3 linked regions of the Tribolium castaneum genome follow. The protein of the gene in region 2 interacts with the protein of the main gene of each other region in a biochemical or structural test. Links are inferred from orthologs where the notes say so. Each region holds a gene or a part of one and is shown on either strand. Other genes may lie near its edges. The genes, in order: Roc1a, NEDD8-conjugating enzyme UBE2F and Roc2.

Region 1 (6,360 bases), on a different chromosome or scaffold from region 2:
GTGAAAGCAAAGAAGATAGCAGCAGCAGCAGTAGTAGTAGCAGCAGTGAAAGCGGTGACAATTCCCAAGGAAAAGACGACGATAAAGATGATAGTGGTAACAGCAGCAGCAGCAGTAGTGACAGTAGCAGTAGCAGCAGCAGCAGCGAAAGTAGTGAAGAAGGTAATTTAATAAAATAATAAATTGTATCCTTCACCAATCTGTGTTTATTAGGTCCTGAGTGTCCCTCAGTGGACGGTGAAACTCCAGTTTATATACCACATGAAGACTGCACCAAATTCTGGCAATGTTCAAATGGTACTCCGTATCTTTTTGACTGTCCAGACAATTTGCACTTTAATCCCAAATTGAATGTTTGTGATTGGCCAAACGCCGCAGGATGTAAAGGAAATAAATAAATTATTGTGAATGGAGAATAGGTTCATGAAAAAATAAATACTTTTGAATGTTACGTCCTTTATTTGTTTAAAAAACCTATCATAATTTATTCACCAGTGTCGCTGTTTTCGTATTTTATAATTACTAATTTGGCAGCCCAATTGTTAGGTTATGAATAATAACATAAAATAACTGTGTTAAATAATAGAAACATATTGGTTTTCTCGAAACATACTTACGTTCATCATGGAGCAAATCAACAATAGATAGTACAAATCAATGAACAATTAATAATACAAAAATATAGGAGAAAATTCCACTACAGCTTTTTAGTTTCAATATTTTGAAAAATGCCTCAGTTTTTGAACTAGAAAAGTAATCGTTATAGGAGTGTTGAAATAAATGTTATGGGAATAACTAAATTTTTGTATAGCTCCTCTCCTTTTATAACATCCATTCCAATTACAATAGCAGTGCCGCCTTTTCTCTCAAAGTTAAATTATTCATGCACTTCTAAACCTTAATAGCTAATGTAATTTATGATTTCAATGACACATCTAATAATCAAAAAATATTTTACATTTTTATCAACATTATTTAAACAAACGAAGTTGTTAGCATTTTTATTAAATTGGAATGACTAGTATTTGAAAAAATGAAAAATCATTATTCATTATCATTAGGTATCGATAATAATAATATTAAGAAGGCTTTGAAAAAAGAAACAATAAATAATTCAGTGGGGCGAAGTGTGGCTGAAAGTTATTCAGTTCAACCCTACAAAATAAAAATTAAGAAAAAACCAACAAATAAGTACACGCAAAAATTGATATTAATGACCAAATGATATTCTTAACATAAAACGAAATAAAAAGACTCAAAAAGTATCAACTCCCGAAACTTTAAATTTAATGCATCTCAAGGAAGAAAAAAAAGAGAAGGAAACATTTCTTAAAACTTTTAAGGCCAAAATGGGAACAGTAAACACGCAGTTGCAAATAATTTCAGCTCTTTAATAAATTATTAATAAAATTAGAAATATTTACGTTATGTGCATGACAATCCATGAACAAAGATACTGGAATTCGGAAGATTAGGTTTTATGCGTACTCAGTAAAAACCAAAAAAATTTATTTTTACAACTAGTAATTATTTTGGGATAGTAGGTATTGAAAAAAGACAGTATGAATTGAATAATAATTTATTGAAATACAAAATGTAACAAAAAATTTCAAGACCTGGATTATACAAAAACTAAATTTCCGTTATAACATGTTGAGTTTACGAAAAAAAATGGTGAGAATCAAATACCGAAAACCGTATTATGCTACTGATAACATAACGATCAATGCCCATACCTGCAAAAAATACATCATCAGTACTTTCTTAGAATAAAAAATAAAATAAAAAAAATCAAAGTAATTTACACCACCATCACATGTTTCAGTTTATTTTCACTTTCTACAGTTTCTTAAAAATTGTTTTCTTCGATTTTTTTCGTAAACTACTGTTTGAGTTTTTCTGAAATTTATCGGATGATGTATTTCTGTAGAGAACAAGTCAATATACCGGTAACTAAAAAACTTTTACAAAAGCGTTTCTCATTATTCGTTGTTATTTGGCAAATGCAGTATATGTATTAGCTATTTTGAAAGTATAAAAACGCCAAAATCGCATTTTTTCTCAAAATTAGTTGTTATAAATTATTCATGCACTTTAAAAAATAGTACCTAATGTAATTTATACTTTCAATGAGAGATCTAATCATTAGTAACTATTTTAAAAATTCTATGTATTTTGTTTAAAAAAATAATTCAGTAACAGGCGACGTTGGCGTTTTTATAGTTTTGAAACAGTTTATTTATTCAAACGAAATAATTAATTAATATTACAACAATTGAACAATTGTTAGAAAACAAATACATATTAATTCAGTTTTTAGTAAAATTACTTTGATTTTTATTTAAGTTATTTAAGTTGTTTAAATACGTTCTTAGGACAAATACTAACGTTGACGATTATACTGTTTTTTAAGTTAAAGTACCTACCACTTAAAATTATTTTCAAGTATACAGGCTGTTTCTAAAATTAGATACAATACAAACTTGTTTTTTTAAATGGAACAACCTATATTTTTTGCATTTTTGGATGTAGCTTTTAACACAGATGTTTTCAAGCTTTTCAAATTGTTATAGGTCGATTTTGCTTTGTTTTTACAATAACTGGATTTTTTTGCCAAAACACGCTTTTTTAAAAAAATCGTTACATAAAAACTTAGAATCTCAGAAAAGAGGAACTTTCACCACTTTAAAGAAAGAAAGTTCAAACTCCAAGGATGTATTATTTTTATTAGCTTACTGCAATCAAGAAGATAAAAAATGAAGAGGTTTGTTGCAAGTTGAATAACTTAAAAATTTTAAATGGAACACCCAATTTTTATTTTTGCATCTAAAAGACCTTTAAATAGTCTCTCTGACAAGATTAACAGTTGGGTCTTTCGCTAATTAGTGATTACTCAAAAGATTTTTAACATTAAACAATAAAAAAATTATTACCTATTGTTTCAGTAGTCAAAAAGTGAAATTTTCTGCTAATAATAACTTTAATGTTACTTTTAGGCCATTATTTGTCATTTATAACAGTGAAATAATTAAAATTTCAATACTTATAGAATTTTTAGTCCCGTATAATCTCCAACAAGTGGTCTGTGGTGGAGTTGCTATGGTTGTGATATGTTGTTGAAATTAACGTTTAAAGTGAAATATCTTTTTAGTTAGTAACTTTAGGAAGTTGAAACTTTATGTTTTTAGTAATTTAGTAATTTTTGAGAAGCAATAACAAAAAATAGAGTGTTCCATTTAAGTTTTTCAAGTTTTAATAAACTTTAATTTTTCTGTTTCTAATTGTAATACGCTAAACAATTGGAACAGATTTATAAGTTTGAACTTTTCCCCGTGTGGGATTCTACGATTCTGCCTTTTTGTGTAATAATTTTTTGTGTTTTTGTCAAAAAAATCAAAATATTTTAAAAACTAAGCAAAAATGCAATAAAATTTAGGGTGTTTCATTTGAAAAAACATAGCTTTAGTGTTTTTTTATATTGGAACATCCTCTATATGCATACCCGTATCTAAAAAAAAGGAAAACTCAATATCTTTAATAATAAACAAATTATGGAGCTTTTTGGGATCGTTGGGACAGCCTGTGTTTAAGTATTATTATGAAATTACTATAACAAAAACTGTGAAATGTGACATTCAAATTTCCCGCCATGTCACACAACAAAGTAGATCGTTAATTGACCACTAGATGGTATAACAATAAAAAATTTAAACCCTCTGTATTGTAAAAGTTGTAAAAACAAAGGGACTATTAACCCGTTAGAAAAACATTTAAAATAAAAAAACTTACTTTTGAAATTCCCATTCTCGATTATCTAGTGGGCACACCTGCCTTGTCTTCAACCACCTCGAAATACAGTGAAAATGAAACGCGTGCTAAAACCAGATTCACTAAAACCAAAACTCAAAAAACAGCAAATTACTCACATTACACACTCCCCAAGCAACTGTACACTCTTCACTGGTCGCTGAGGCCTGATTTGCCTGACACTCAATACATAAATCCATAATATGATTGCGACAAATGGCACAATTATCGACCACGATATCTAAAATTTTAATTAAAACCAACGTGTCTAATAAAATGACACAGCGTACCCCAAGCCCACAACGCTACGGCGTTCCACTTCATAAAAATGAAAAATCATCAAGTGTTAGGTTATGTCTCACAAACTTACCTTTTTCACTTCGAAACGCTTCTTTTCACCCTTGGAACTGCTCGAAGTGGGAACTTCGACCTCGTCAACATCCACGTCCATTGCCGCTGCCATTTTTGCCCAAATAACACAAAATTGTGAGTTTTTACAAACGTTAATTGCCAAACTGTTTGGGGTGAAATTTCGACTGGGGAATTTTACGCGTGTGTTGGGTGCCCTTCAACCACCACAGAATGACCAATTTTGCGAAAATCAATGTTATTAACTTAACTAATGGATGGCTAACGCATTAAAATTGTAAACAAGTGTTGTATTAATTGATAATTATTTTATTAATGGCCATTTTCGTCTGACGGTTGCCGTTGGCACTCCTGGCGAAGCTTCCACTTGTGATGGCGTTTGTCGTTTAAAACCGTAAACAAAAATGCCGCATTTAATTATACCCGTAATTAATTGTCTGTGATAAACGGTGTGTTTTCAACCAAATAGCACCATTTTCCCGTGCAAGTGACAATGGAAAGTGAAAAATCCACCGAAAGCGAGTTAACCTCAACAATGGGCAACCTGCTGTCATCGAATACCGACGAAAAAAGTGAGTCTTGTGATTCAACCCCAACGTCTTCCACCGATGCATTTACAACCACTTCAACGTCACACATTGGTAAGTGTTTTTTCCAGTTTTCCTTGCGCTTACTTCAATTGTGTTCAGCTGCTGACGATCCAATCAGTAGCACATCCTCGGATGCTTTGGATTCGGGGAAACACCCGAGTAGTGCGAACCCAGTTATTAATTTAGTGAGGGAGATGTCAGGGGGTGGTAACCCATCGCCGATTGCGTCCGATAAGGACCTGCTCGATATGAATATTACGGATACTTCTACGGAGAAAATTACAGAAAATGTTGATGACATTGTTCAGGATTTGGAGAATTTGTTAGGGGAGCCGACGACTTCGTTTGATTTTACGATTCGAAAGGATCTGAGAGGGGCTAATAAAGACATTGCGATGGAGCTTGATGAGTTTTCAGCTGAACTTCAAATGTTGCAAGGTAAGAAATCAAATATTTATTTAATTTATATTAATTTTAAATGATTAGTTAATAAGTCAGCCAGTGTCAAAAAACGGGCGTTAGGGGAGCCACTAGTCTGGGCTTCAATGGAACATGTATGTTTTGGTTTCAAAATGTACTAAATTTCGTTTCCAAAAAATACAGCCGAAATCAAATATTTTATTAATTAATTGAGTTAATAGTTAATAAGTCAGCTATGGGCATTGGGGTGCTTCACAGTCATGTCTTAAAAATTTTGAACAGTATCAAATGTTAGCGTAATTATTAGCTGTTTCGAAATTATAAAAATGCCAACGTCGGATTTTCTCTAGAAGTAATTGTTATAAATTATTTATGCTTTTCAAAGAATTAATAGCTTATATATTTTCTAGTTTTATTGGAAGATCTTGTCATTAATAACTATTTTTATCAATCTTATTTAAAAAAAATATTCGGTTAAATGCGATGTTAACAGTGTCTTAATTTTGATATTGTTAAAGTCTTTGATAATTAAGGTTATTGATAATTGAATAATTAATAATTGAAATTTTTAAGAAACGGTTCTGCAAAAATTTAAAAATCTATGATAGATATCAATTTGTATTTTTTTTTCTGTTCGCATTTCCAATTTTACAATGTGGCTCCAATTATAGGTTGGAAACACCTTGACTGGTACTGTTGTCCTAGAAAAAAAAATCATTTCAACTGATACTGTTCATAAAAACTGAAAATAAAATCAAAATTTTTTTGCAGTGTTCCGTCCGTTAAACTGGAATGGCTGAAAATTAGGTGATTTGATATTTATAGTCTATGATTAAATAATTTCCTGATATAATTTTCTCATATTTGAGTAATTTTTTTACTGTAGCGTTATATTCCATTGTAGTATTTCACAAATGCTCTGTATGTTTGTAATTATCTTTTATGCTTTTATACTTTATACGATTATTAGGTATATCATCAAAGAAAATAAACACAAAATATTTCGAAATGTAACAAAATTAATTCTCATGTAAAATTAAGTAACAAGAATAAAATGTAAATAAAAATAAACAAAAATGAGGTCACAAAGCAATATTAAGAACAAAAAAATATTATAAAATTTTTGTGCTTACTATTAATTATTATTTTATATTGGTTATTATTTAATAACACA
Region 2 (5,152 bases):
GCAACAAAACGGCCGAATTGCCTCCCAATCGGCTAGGATATTCCTGGCAAGCAAGCCCGCACCCCTACTTCAGTCGCATTTCAAAGACCACGAAGACTTGCAATTGGGCTCCCTGTCGCACTATATCAAGCAACGAGCGACCGGCTATGAGCCCCTGCCCCCGTTCCCGGAGAATCCGCCCCCGGGTGACGTCCGAAACGTCGAACCAATCGTAATTGAAGACTCCAAATCGTACAAAAAATCGGTACTTATCAGCCGTTACCGAAATTTCCGAAATAAATCACTGTTTCAGGACAAAAAGGGTAAAGACATGTTCTTGTGGGAGTCGGGGAGTTCCCGGGGGGCTAGTAGCAACAACAGCTCGGACAGCTCCGACTCGTCTAGCTCTAGTAGCGACAGTTCGAGTGAAGACAGCGAAAGTCAATATGAGGAAGAATCGTCAAGTGATGAGTACGGAACTGTGGTTTTCGGGCAAATTGATAGTAAAACAATTTCAGGAAGTCGGCGAGTTGCACTTCGAGCGAAGAGTCCAGCAGTGAGGAGAGTGAAGAAGAAGCGAAGAAACCCGAAGCACCAAAACCAAAATCAAACTTAGACTTATTGCTAGATTTAGGCGACGTTGATAGCACTGCACCCGTGATGACCCCATCACTGGGCGGGTTCCTAACACCGAGTGTCGTAAGCACGACACCTTCGCAGGTCGAAATGACGCCCCCCGTTTTCACCAACACTAAAACCATCGAACTTATTAACAAAATCAACGGGCGGGGGCTGTCGGCCACTTACAGGTTCACCCGGACGCCTCATATTTTATCGCCAAGTATGGCAAACATCAATATAATGTTCACCAACAACACCACCGAAGACATCAGTGATATTAGGCTGGGAAAAAAGGTTGGCTGGTCTTATTTTGTTTCTTTGAAACGGTTCCAGTGTCCGAATTTTGTAGAATTTAGGACTGGACATGTCGATGTATGAGTTCGCAAACATCGCCAGATTGCCGCCAAACGGCTGCCTGCCCGCGTCGCTCGGGATCGACTTCAACGACACGACCCAGCCGGCGAACTTCGAGATCGTGTGCTCGTTGGGCAACTTCAGCGTCTGCATAAAGCCGACCATAGGCGAGCTGGTGCGCCCCGTCCGGATGGACACCCCCACATTCCAGGAAAAGCAGTCGAAGTTGGGCGGCATGAACGAACATATCGGCAAAGTGAAGTGCGTCTCTAACATCGTCGAAAGAGTCACCGAATGCAGCAACTTGGGCGTGTGCGACCCAGCGAGCGACAGCCTGAGGTAACGCCCGCTTTTGTGTGGCGAGTGATTAGTCTCGTTTACAGGTTCGCGGGCCAAACGCTGAAATCGTCGAACTTCGTTCTGGTCACAATAACCAAGCAGGAGGTGGTCACTGTCAATTGCGAGAACATGGTCTTTGGGTCCGTTATGCTCAACGAACTGCTACATAATCTCAAGTCATAAGTTGCTTCAGCGTATTTGATGTATTGTACTTGTTTGTAACGGGAAATACTTGAACATAATGTGCACTTGCTAAACGCCGAGCTTCCTTTTGCGTGAATATTATGTTGGATGTATTTGCCACCTAGTTATCACTTTTCTTTTTTATCCTTTCAAATAAATATTTATGAGAAGTGTGTGTTTGGATTGAAACAGCGGTAATTCATATAAATATATTGTGGTAAACTTTACCCAAAGTGAAGAGTTGCTCACTTGTGGACAAACTTTACGATAACTTTTTACAAAAAAAGGAAATGGAGTATTCACACTCGTGAAAGCGGACAAACAGTAATATCGACGACTCTACAACGATTAATCTTTAGCATACAGCATAACGTACTCATTCACTTTCATTCTAAATTCCTCCTTAGAGTTTCTATACATATCCGAAGCTTCTATATTTAAAGGATCGTCAAAATTTAACAAATCCTGAAACAAAACGTCAACCGTGTCCAAACGATCCGATAAATACCGTAAATAAGGCGTGTAGGCCCCAGACGACGTCGTTTAATCTCCTAATGGGCGACCAGCCCAGCCCGTCCATGCTGTGCTGCCTCAGGAGCGATAGGCACACTTCGCCGACTTCGGTTATGTTAGGGTGCCACAAACGCGTGAGGCATCTGACAGTGGGAGGCTGCAAACGAGACTCAACCGCCGATCGCAACTCGGTGGCAATACTTACAACCATGTTATACTCTTCGGTAACGTTAATAGCAAATCTAAAAGTACCACCCTCCCAAAGGCCCTCCGTGGGTCTCACGGTTAAAATGAACTTGCTCAAATCGTTCTCATTCTCGTAGAAAACTGAACAATTACTGGGCAAAAGTTGGGCCATTTCTTGTGATTCTTTAATTAGTAGTTTGTCCCTGATTGAAATTCGGTTCGTGTTAGAAGAACGGTCTTCTTGCTGTTTTTTCAAGCGTTGGGATAGCGTAATCATGATTCTACAAATTATTATTGAAACACAATGAAAATCATCGCATTGTTTATGTTTAATTTTGATATAAATTTTTGGTTAGGTAACTGACAGCGCCGCTGTCAACGAGAGTGACCCGGACCGAAAGATCTTCGAACCGAATTTTTTTTCAAATTGTTTAAACGAAATAAGGCGAAAATACTATCAACTGTTACTTTAACATAATTTTGGTTAATAGAAAAAACTCAAATTTGGGGTGGTCTAATTGTGTTTTATAACACGTATATGTACCATGGTTATTTAAAAAGTTTCCACCCAAATACTACAAGACTTGACCTTGTAAATCAAATTTTTATTTCCAATGTTTTGGATTTTTTTACTAAGGAAGGAGAGACCCACATGAATGATTTATTAAATGAGTAAAAATAGTTTATTGCGTAAATAAAAGATACATTTGTGTTTACTTTTTGGGGCGTACTTGAGCGGCTTCGTTACCAAACATCTTCCACAGGCTTCTTCTACGGCAGGGTGGTCTTATGATATTATCTCTTAAACAAATTTGGTAGACCTCCGGGTCTGTTTTGGCAAGGTTGAGGACCTCAGCAGAGCTTAACTCCCTGAATAGAAAATTTATGTTAAAAAATATAAGTACTTATTTGAATTTTTTACGTACTCCCAAATCACCGAAAGACGCCCACGATTGTCTTCCCTACCTCGAACCTTCTTGGCATCTTTTTTAGACTGTTTTGATGAGACACAACCCATTTTCTTCGCGAGTATACGACTTATAAGCATGTAACTGCCGCAACGCTGATACCCCTTTTATTCATTCTGATAGTATGTAGACTGATAAAATATTTTCATGAAGATTCCTAACAGGTAAATCGGTTATAATCAGCAATACGTAACAGGTGCGCCACCCAAGTGAAATATTTGGATAAATGGCCCTAATTAAGTTATCAAATTATTAACGTAAAAATACAAAAATGCGAATAATGACGCTTAAAATTTTATCATAATATTGTAACATGACTTATTTTTAAAAGCTTGCCATACGAAAATCACAAAATTTTTTTGAAGAATCTAAAATTACAGGCAAATGTCACATTACAATAAAGGTTTTTTTATTGTTTTGTATATACATTTAAATTGTAGATAATTTGCAAAGAAATGTTCACAAAATTTGATTTGTGACACGTAATACTGATAGCCCAATTGACAGTATGTTATTTTAAATTTTTTCTCTTTGTTGATTTGGACGTTAGATGTTTTTCCAAAAATGTAACTTTATATTAGAAAGGCGGTTTTGTTTTGCCGAGCGTCCACCAGAATAGCGCTGCGTGACCACTACTCTTTCCACGAAGACCCAGGATCAACCCAAAACACGAAAAAGCCTTTTGTAATTTCAGTATTTATCAAAAATGATTCCTGTTTTTTATTAAATAAGGTATACATATTTTTTTGCTGCTTTCTTTGAATAATTTTTTTTGGAACTAGCGTCAATTTTTTACGTAATTTTCTAACAAACAACAACATACAAGCATCATTTTCTTCTAAGTGCTATTCATTAGGAATAATAAAAAAGCTTAAATAGTTTTCAAGATAAGAAAGTCAAAATTACAGCATTTCGGCCCTGCTAGGAGGTCCTAGGACCTGATATCAGGCAAATGTTGCAGAATATTAAGTTAAATAAAAATTAATGACCGAATTAATCTTCGCCCACATCTGCCGCTGAAATTGGCTTCGAAGAAGGCAAAAATAATTTTATTGGAAAAGGGACGTCAACAACAATTAGACAAAGTGTTAAAACAGCAAAATTTATTTAATTAGGCAAATATCAGCCGATATTTGAACAATAAAACATCAGTTTTTGGAAGCACTTTAATCGCCTTCTGATTGGTCTGTCTTACTGTCGGGAGTGCATCAGCCCAGCGCTATCCAATGACAAACACCTTGCAATTTTTTGTGCGGTAGATAAGCAAGAAGGAGGTACTTGCTGTATTTTTATTGGTCGAATGACGGATTCGTGAAACGAAGATAATTTCGGTTTAGTAATTTATCGAAAAGTCACAATTATCCACATTATCCATTAAATATTCTAATAAAATTATCATTAATTAAGTAATACCTAGGGAAAAACCAAATATTTTTAATTCGTAGTCCTTGATCTTTGTTTTGCCGAGCGGCCACCAGAGTAGCGCTGCGTTACCACAAACGCTTTTACATATTACTAGATTTTTTATCAAATTTTTAGAAATTTGGACGCCACACATAAAGATAAACAGTAACAATAATAATGTTGAAAAGGATCAGAGTAACTGCTCTAAGTCTGCCGAAATGGAAATGAAAGCGTCAAATTGCCTCAAAATTTATATAGAAGATAAGGAAGAAGAAAATTAAAAAAACGCCCAACAAGGCCTTTTTAATTCATATAAATTGTAAAATATGAATTGTGGTAATGTAGACTTCCGCTACTTTCGCAGCGCTACTCTGTCGGCCGCTCGGCAAAATAATGAATTCTGGCGGCAATTTTTATTCAAAAAAACGACTTTTTCTTAATTTTTATTAATAAAATTAATAATTTTAGAAATCCTTGTTTTGCTGTCCGACAAAAAATTAAGAAAAGATTATTTTCTATATTTGAAAAAAATCCACTTAAAGATTGGAACAATTTTCTAAATTTTTGATATCATATCAGGATTATCGATGCAAAGAGACCCCAGC
Region 3 (4,658 bases), on a different chromosome or scaffold from region 2:
ACCAAAATTTAACAAATTCCCTAAATTCCGGACTAAAAGTCTCAGGTAAGCTTGGCGGATCTTGTCCTAGCACTTTGGTTAGGACTTCAAAATCGGTTGTACAGTTGGGATATGGGAAAACCCCCGTTGCTAATTCAACTAGAGTTATGCCTAATGACCAAACGTCGGCACGTATGTCATAGTCGGGATTTTTAGGGTCGGGTTCAATGCGTTCCGGCTAAATTAAAAAATTAGAAAAAAAATAAATGTGGGGGAAAAACTCACAGCTAAATATGCAGCACACCCAGCGCTCCTAGTTTTTGCCATTGAGTCCACCAAACGTCCACTAATACCAAAATCACACAATTTTATATGGCCTTTAGTGTCGATCAAAATATTTGAAGGTTTTACATCCCTATGTATCACACCGTGCTTATCTTTTAAATACGATAAAGCCTCTACAGTCTGTAACGTTCAGTGAGCGTGGTGCTTGAAAAGGAAGACGTGTACTTACAGCAACTGTAACTTTACCCAGGATTTCTTCAGGTATCGGTTTACCTAACCGTTTTAGTAACTTATCAAAGCACGTAGTCATGAGCTCCATGCATATCCAGACTTCCGAATCGGTTATAAAACAGCCTAAACATTGAACTATATATTTACAGTCGTGTGACTTTAGGACCACTTCAATGTCCATAATAATCCTTTTGTTTTCGTCGTTGTTGCCCGAACGTCGCATTTGCTGAAATGGAAGCCCGTGAAATAAATTGTGTTAATTTTTGGACCTTGATGTTTACTTTGACGGCTATGATTTCGCCACTTAGTTTGTGTCTCATTTTGATAACGTGACCGCAGGTCCCGAAGCCCAGTTCTTCAAGTCTTTCCATATCTTTTATATCAGTTTCGTATAGTTTGTTGTTGATTGTTAGGTTACCACTAATTTTCATGATTTCTTTCAACTTCCTATCAGTCTCTAAATTTTCACTGCTTCTTGGCGTGAAAGATAAATCTCGTGGCCGGCTGGGGACCATGCCCACTGGGAAAACCAAAGATCGCTCTTATTTTCCCCCTTAACTTATTAAACAACTTACATGGGAGACTCGGGCGACTGTGAGGAACATCACCATTATTTCTGGCGATACTTTGACCGGACATTTGCAGATTGCGTGGAGGATTGTTTCCTTGTCTTAATCGATCTAATAAATTATTTATTTTCTGTTCTTGACTAGACATAATTATACTTACTACAAAGTCAAAACCAATGACAGCTATAACCTGTAACTTTTAGCTGCCAAAGGAAAAACACCATCGGTTGGCCAACCTGACACAGTTGCTACCGAACTCATCAGAAATCAAAAGTTCCCACAAATAAAACAACCAGTTCTGTTTTACAATTTTATTAATAAAAGGAAATACAATTAATTATGTTTGGGCATGTTTGGCATTATGATGCCTCTTTAGTTTTTGACTTTCCGTGAAAGACTTGCCACAATTGGGAAACTGGCATACATAAGGCCTCTCCCCAGTGTGGCTCCTCAAATGGATGATCAGGTGGTGCCGTTCGAAAAATGTTTTAAAGCATTCGTCACACTTATGTAAGCGCAAACCCTGAAAAGTACACGAAATCATTATTTGCCCATCCTCTGGATGGACCATTCTTGCTGACACAACGGGCAGCGATTATTTTGCTTGACCCACAAAGACATGCAACAATAGTGAAACGAGTGGTTGCACTCCCCCCACACCACCACGCAATCCTGCTTCCCGTACGAGTCTTTTTTGCTCTCAGCTTGGCACCGCAAACACGCGTCCATCACTTGCACGCGACAAATCGCACAAGTGTCGCATTCCACGTCCCAGCTCCACATTGCAACAGCGTTCCATTTTTTCAAAGTGAACATTTTCTCGCTCTTGGCTCCCTCGCCGTCGAGGCGCTCGGTGTTCTCGTTCTCGTCGGCAATAGAACTCGACATGGTGGCAGTTATCAACCAAGGGCGTTATTTATTATCCTAATTGTAACCTCAATATTTGCGATGACGTTTGACGCGTTAGTAACAGTGCCACCAACAAGAACACGCTAAATTACAAAAATACCCACCTGATGGTACCTTTGGTGCTTCAGGAGCTCTTTTTTGGTATAGAACGCCGAAGGGCAGGACTGGCACTTGAATTCCTTGATTCCTGTGTGAATTCTTTCGTGCCTCTGCAAACTGCACTTTGAAGCAAATGCTCTGGAACACTGCGAGCAGTAAAATCTGACTCCTTCATGATGCTTTTTTTCATGTGCCCTCAGATTACTTCGCACAGAAAACCCAAGATTACAGAGCTTACACACGTAACCTTTCACTTCCAGGTGTATTTTTTCGTGGCAGGTTAATGAATTTTTTGTGATGAAGCCTTTGCCTGTAATAATTTTTTACTTGTGGGGCGTTAATAGAAATAATTGTTACCACAAGTTACACACAAAAACGAGCGTTTCCCCTGATGTTTGAGCTCATGCGTTTTTAATGTGTAGGCGGAACTGAGGATTTTTTTACAATTCTTCCAACTACAAACGAATTTGGCTTTTTTAAACGCCTCCAAATCCTCTGTTTCTATTTTATTTTCAAAACTATCATGTTGCGAATTTTCTTCTTCTGTGAAACAGTTGTGAGACCCATACTCCTCCAAGTTACAAAACTTGTTATCACATTTCGGACACGAAACTTCTGCTTTAATTTCCTCCTGACTAACACTTATCTGGTGTGAATTTAAATGATTCTTAAATAAATCATGATCACTGAACTCCCCTGGACATTGTTCACACTTGAAGATTTCTTCTTTAGTGTCCTTACTTTTGGCTTCGCAATTTTTTAAAATCCTTCTGAAACACTGATCCACTTTGCGAATGTGTTGCTTGTAAAGCGAAAAACATTTTATGGTTTTTTTGCACTCCTCACACACAGAACGCGGCAAAAGCTCCATAGATTTATCATTTACCTACAAAAAAGTTCTTTAATAAATTACAAATTGGGCAAGTTTTTTTCACCTTCACTTTTGTGCATTCGTAAATTTCTTTTACTAATTTTTTGTCTGTTTTTATGTCGTGTTGGCCGGGCTTTGTGTGACACAATCGGCAGTTTTTCAGCCTTATTTGTTCGAATAAAACCATTTTCGTTTTTGTTGGTAAACCGTACCCTAACCTTACTTTTTTTTAATATACAGTATGTCCCAGAAAAGTTGAGGTGGAAGGATTAAATCGAATTCTATTTATATTATTTATTTGAATATAATAGTTACTGGTAAATAATATGCACATAAAAATAAAATACACTGACTGTACATCATAATAATACAGAACAGCATGATAGTGGCAAACGTTAGTAAAGAACTAAAAGACGATAAAAATCTTATCACACTGTCCTAATAAACTTAAGTTAGATGGAATTTGTATGTACACCTTAGAATACAGCTGATAAAAATTTCAGTATTTAAATAACATGGACTATAATAGTATTTATACATCAGACTGGAGTAGTGCAAGCGTAAACAAAAAACAATCCCAATACAATCTATTATGTTAAATAATAATTAATCAGTATTTATTGTTAGATAATACCTCAATACAAAGAAAACTTACTTACGAACATGATATAACAATCTTTTGAACTATTAGTACAATCTAACTTAATTATTTCACAAAATAACAAGTGTAACCTGTCAGTCTGGTTTTAATAAATGCACACAATTTTAAATCCTCAATCACCTCTAATCTTAATTTAATAAAAAGGATCGACGTAAAACTAGTCTAGTTTTAGCAAGCAAGCTAACAATAGTTTATTTGTTTTCAGTAAACAACCTGAAAAAAATTCTCCCTTTCGAAATTTCCAAATTTAAGTAGCTTATCAGGTCACCTCAATCTCTCTAGTAAAAGAAACAAAACGAAAAAAATGTTTCATACGATTTTCTTAATTATTCAGTCTGTGTAATAAGTATATACACGAGTTAGGGTAATCAATGCTCGCTCTGGATCTGCAGAGGCACATTTTGGAGTATACTGTTTCCTAAAGCGTTCTATCCCTCCGAAACCGACGATAAACTGCTCCTAGTCGACCCCATCCCGATCTTGCAACTCTCCTGGCTCAGATCGGGCAAATCTGGAGGCAAAGCCAGAGGAGTACTGATCGGCCCATAAACCCTTTCCTGTTCTTCCAACTGCTGGGCAAACGCCTCTTCCAATTTCTAAACAATTACACAATTTACGACACAAAAACGAGGAGACAACGGGTGTTAGTTAGTACAAGCAAGCAAACGAAAACACAATCTAAACAGCAGAATCATCATCGGGATTCGAAGGAAGGAAAACACTGGCTCTGCTACTACTACCGCCACCGTGGGTCCAAGACCGCACCCGCCCCCAAGTGGGTGGCGAGTCCCTAAATGTGGGAGTGTTAGGTGTAGTTAGTGGGAATTGAATATCCTGATCGGTTGATGACGATGTGCTTAGTCCGGTTACATGCAACTTTGGTAAGTATTTGACGAAATCCGACGTTACCAACTCTGTGTGCATCTCCTCCTCGAGTTTCTATAAAGCGTGCATTGGTATTAGTGTGCATGCAGACAATCTTGCAGAAGAAAAAACAATAGCGCGCTGGTGTCTTACCTGTTTTCGCGGTTTGAGTTGAGCTTTCCATTCTTTT

What was found.
Region 1: the proteins of NEDD8-conjugating enzyme UBE2F (region 2) and Roc1a form a complex in vitro, tested with the Homo sapiens proteins (2 studies listed by BioGRID). The link is inferred for Tribolium castaneum from reciprocal best matches to the Homo sapiens genes UBE2F and RBX1.
Region 3: the proteins of NEDD8-conjugating enzyme UBE2F (region 2) and Roc2 form a complex in vitro, tested with the Homo sapiens proteins (10 studies listed by BioGRID, with this or other methods). The link is inferred for Tribolium castaneum from reciprocal best matches to the Homo sapiens genes UBE2F and RNF7.

The regions. Positions count from the first base shown.
Region 1 is NC_087402.1:12,064,720-12,071,079, forward strand, and holds Roc1a (RING-box protein 1A), read right to left. Parts: upstream 4,367-6,360; 5' UTR 4,271-4,366; coding exon 4,178-4,270; intron 4,126-4,177; coding exon 4,098-4,125; intron 4,049-4,097; coding exon 3,927-4,048; intron 3,876-3,926; coding exon 3,790-3,875; intron 1,737-3,789; coding exon 1,724-1,736; 3' UTR 1,564-1,723; downstream 1-1,563. Other genes in the region: serine-rich adhesin for platelets, read left to right, coding at 1-162, 214-398; e(y)3 (titin), read left to right, coding at 4,670-4,817, 4,866-5,204. UniProt on the Homo sapiens protein: E3 ubiquitin ligase component of multiple cullin-RING-based E3 ubiquitin-protein ligase (CRLs) complexes which mediate the ubiquitination and subsequent proteasomal degradation of target proteins, including proteins involved in cell cycle progression, signal transduction, transcription and transcription-coupled nucleotide excision repair.
Region 2 is NC_087403.1:3,755,664-3,760,815, reverse strand, and holds NEDD8-conjugating enzyme UBE2F, read right to left. Parts: upstream 2,564-5,152; 5' UTR 2,453-2,563; coding exon 2,195-2,452; intron 2,147-2,194; coding exon 1,985-2,146; intron 1,942-1,984; coding exon 1,825-1,941; 3' UTR 1,672-1,824; downstream 1-1,671. Other genes in the region: rb (AP-3 complex subunit beta-2), read left to right, coding at 1-244, 293-450, 498-894, 950-1,293, 1,338-1,476. UniProt on the Homo sapiens protein: Accepts the ubiquitin-like protein NEDD8 from the UBA3-NAE1 E1 complex and catalyzes its covalent attachment to other proteins. Together with the E3 ubiquitin ligase RNF7/RBX2, specifically neddylates cullin-5 (CUL5).
Region 3 is NC_087397.1:2,862,536-2,867,193, reverse strand, and holds Roc2 (RING-box protein 2), read right to left. Parts: upstream 2,065-4,658; 5' UTR 1,953-2,064; coding exon 1,608-1,952; 3' UTR 1,361-1,607; downstream 1-1,360. Other genes in the region: dual specificity mitogen-activated protein kinase kinase 7, read right to left, coding at 3-217, 265-444, 494-721, 777-1,015, 1,071-1,134; Slik (STE20-like serine/threonine-protein kinase), read right to left, coding at 4,033-4,200, 4,622-4,658. UniProt on the Homo sapiens protein: Catalytic component of multiple cullin-5-RING E3 ubiquitin-protein ligase complexes (ECS complexes), which mediate the ubiquitination and subsequent proteasomal degradation of target proteins.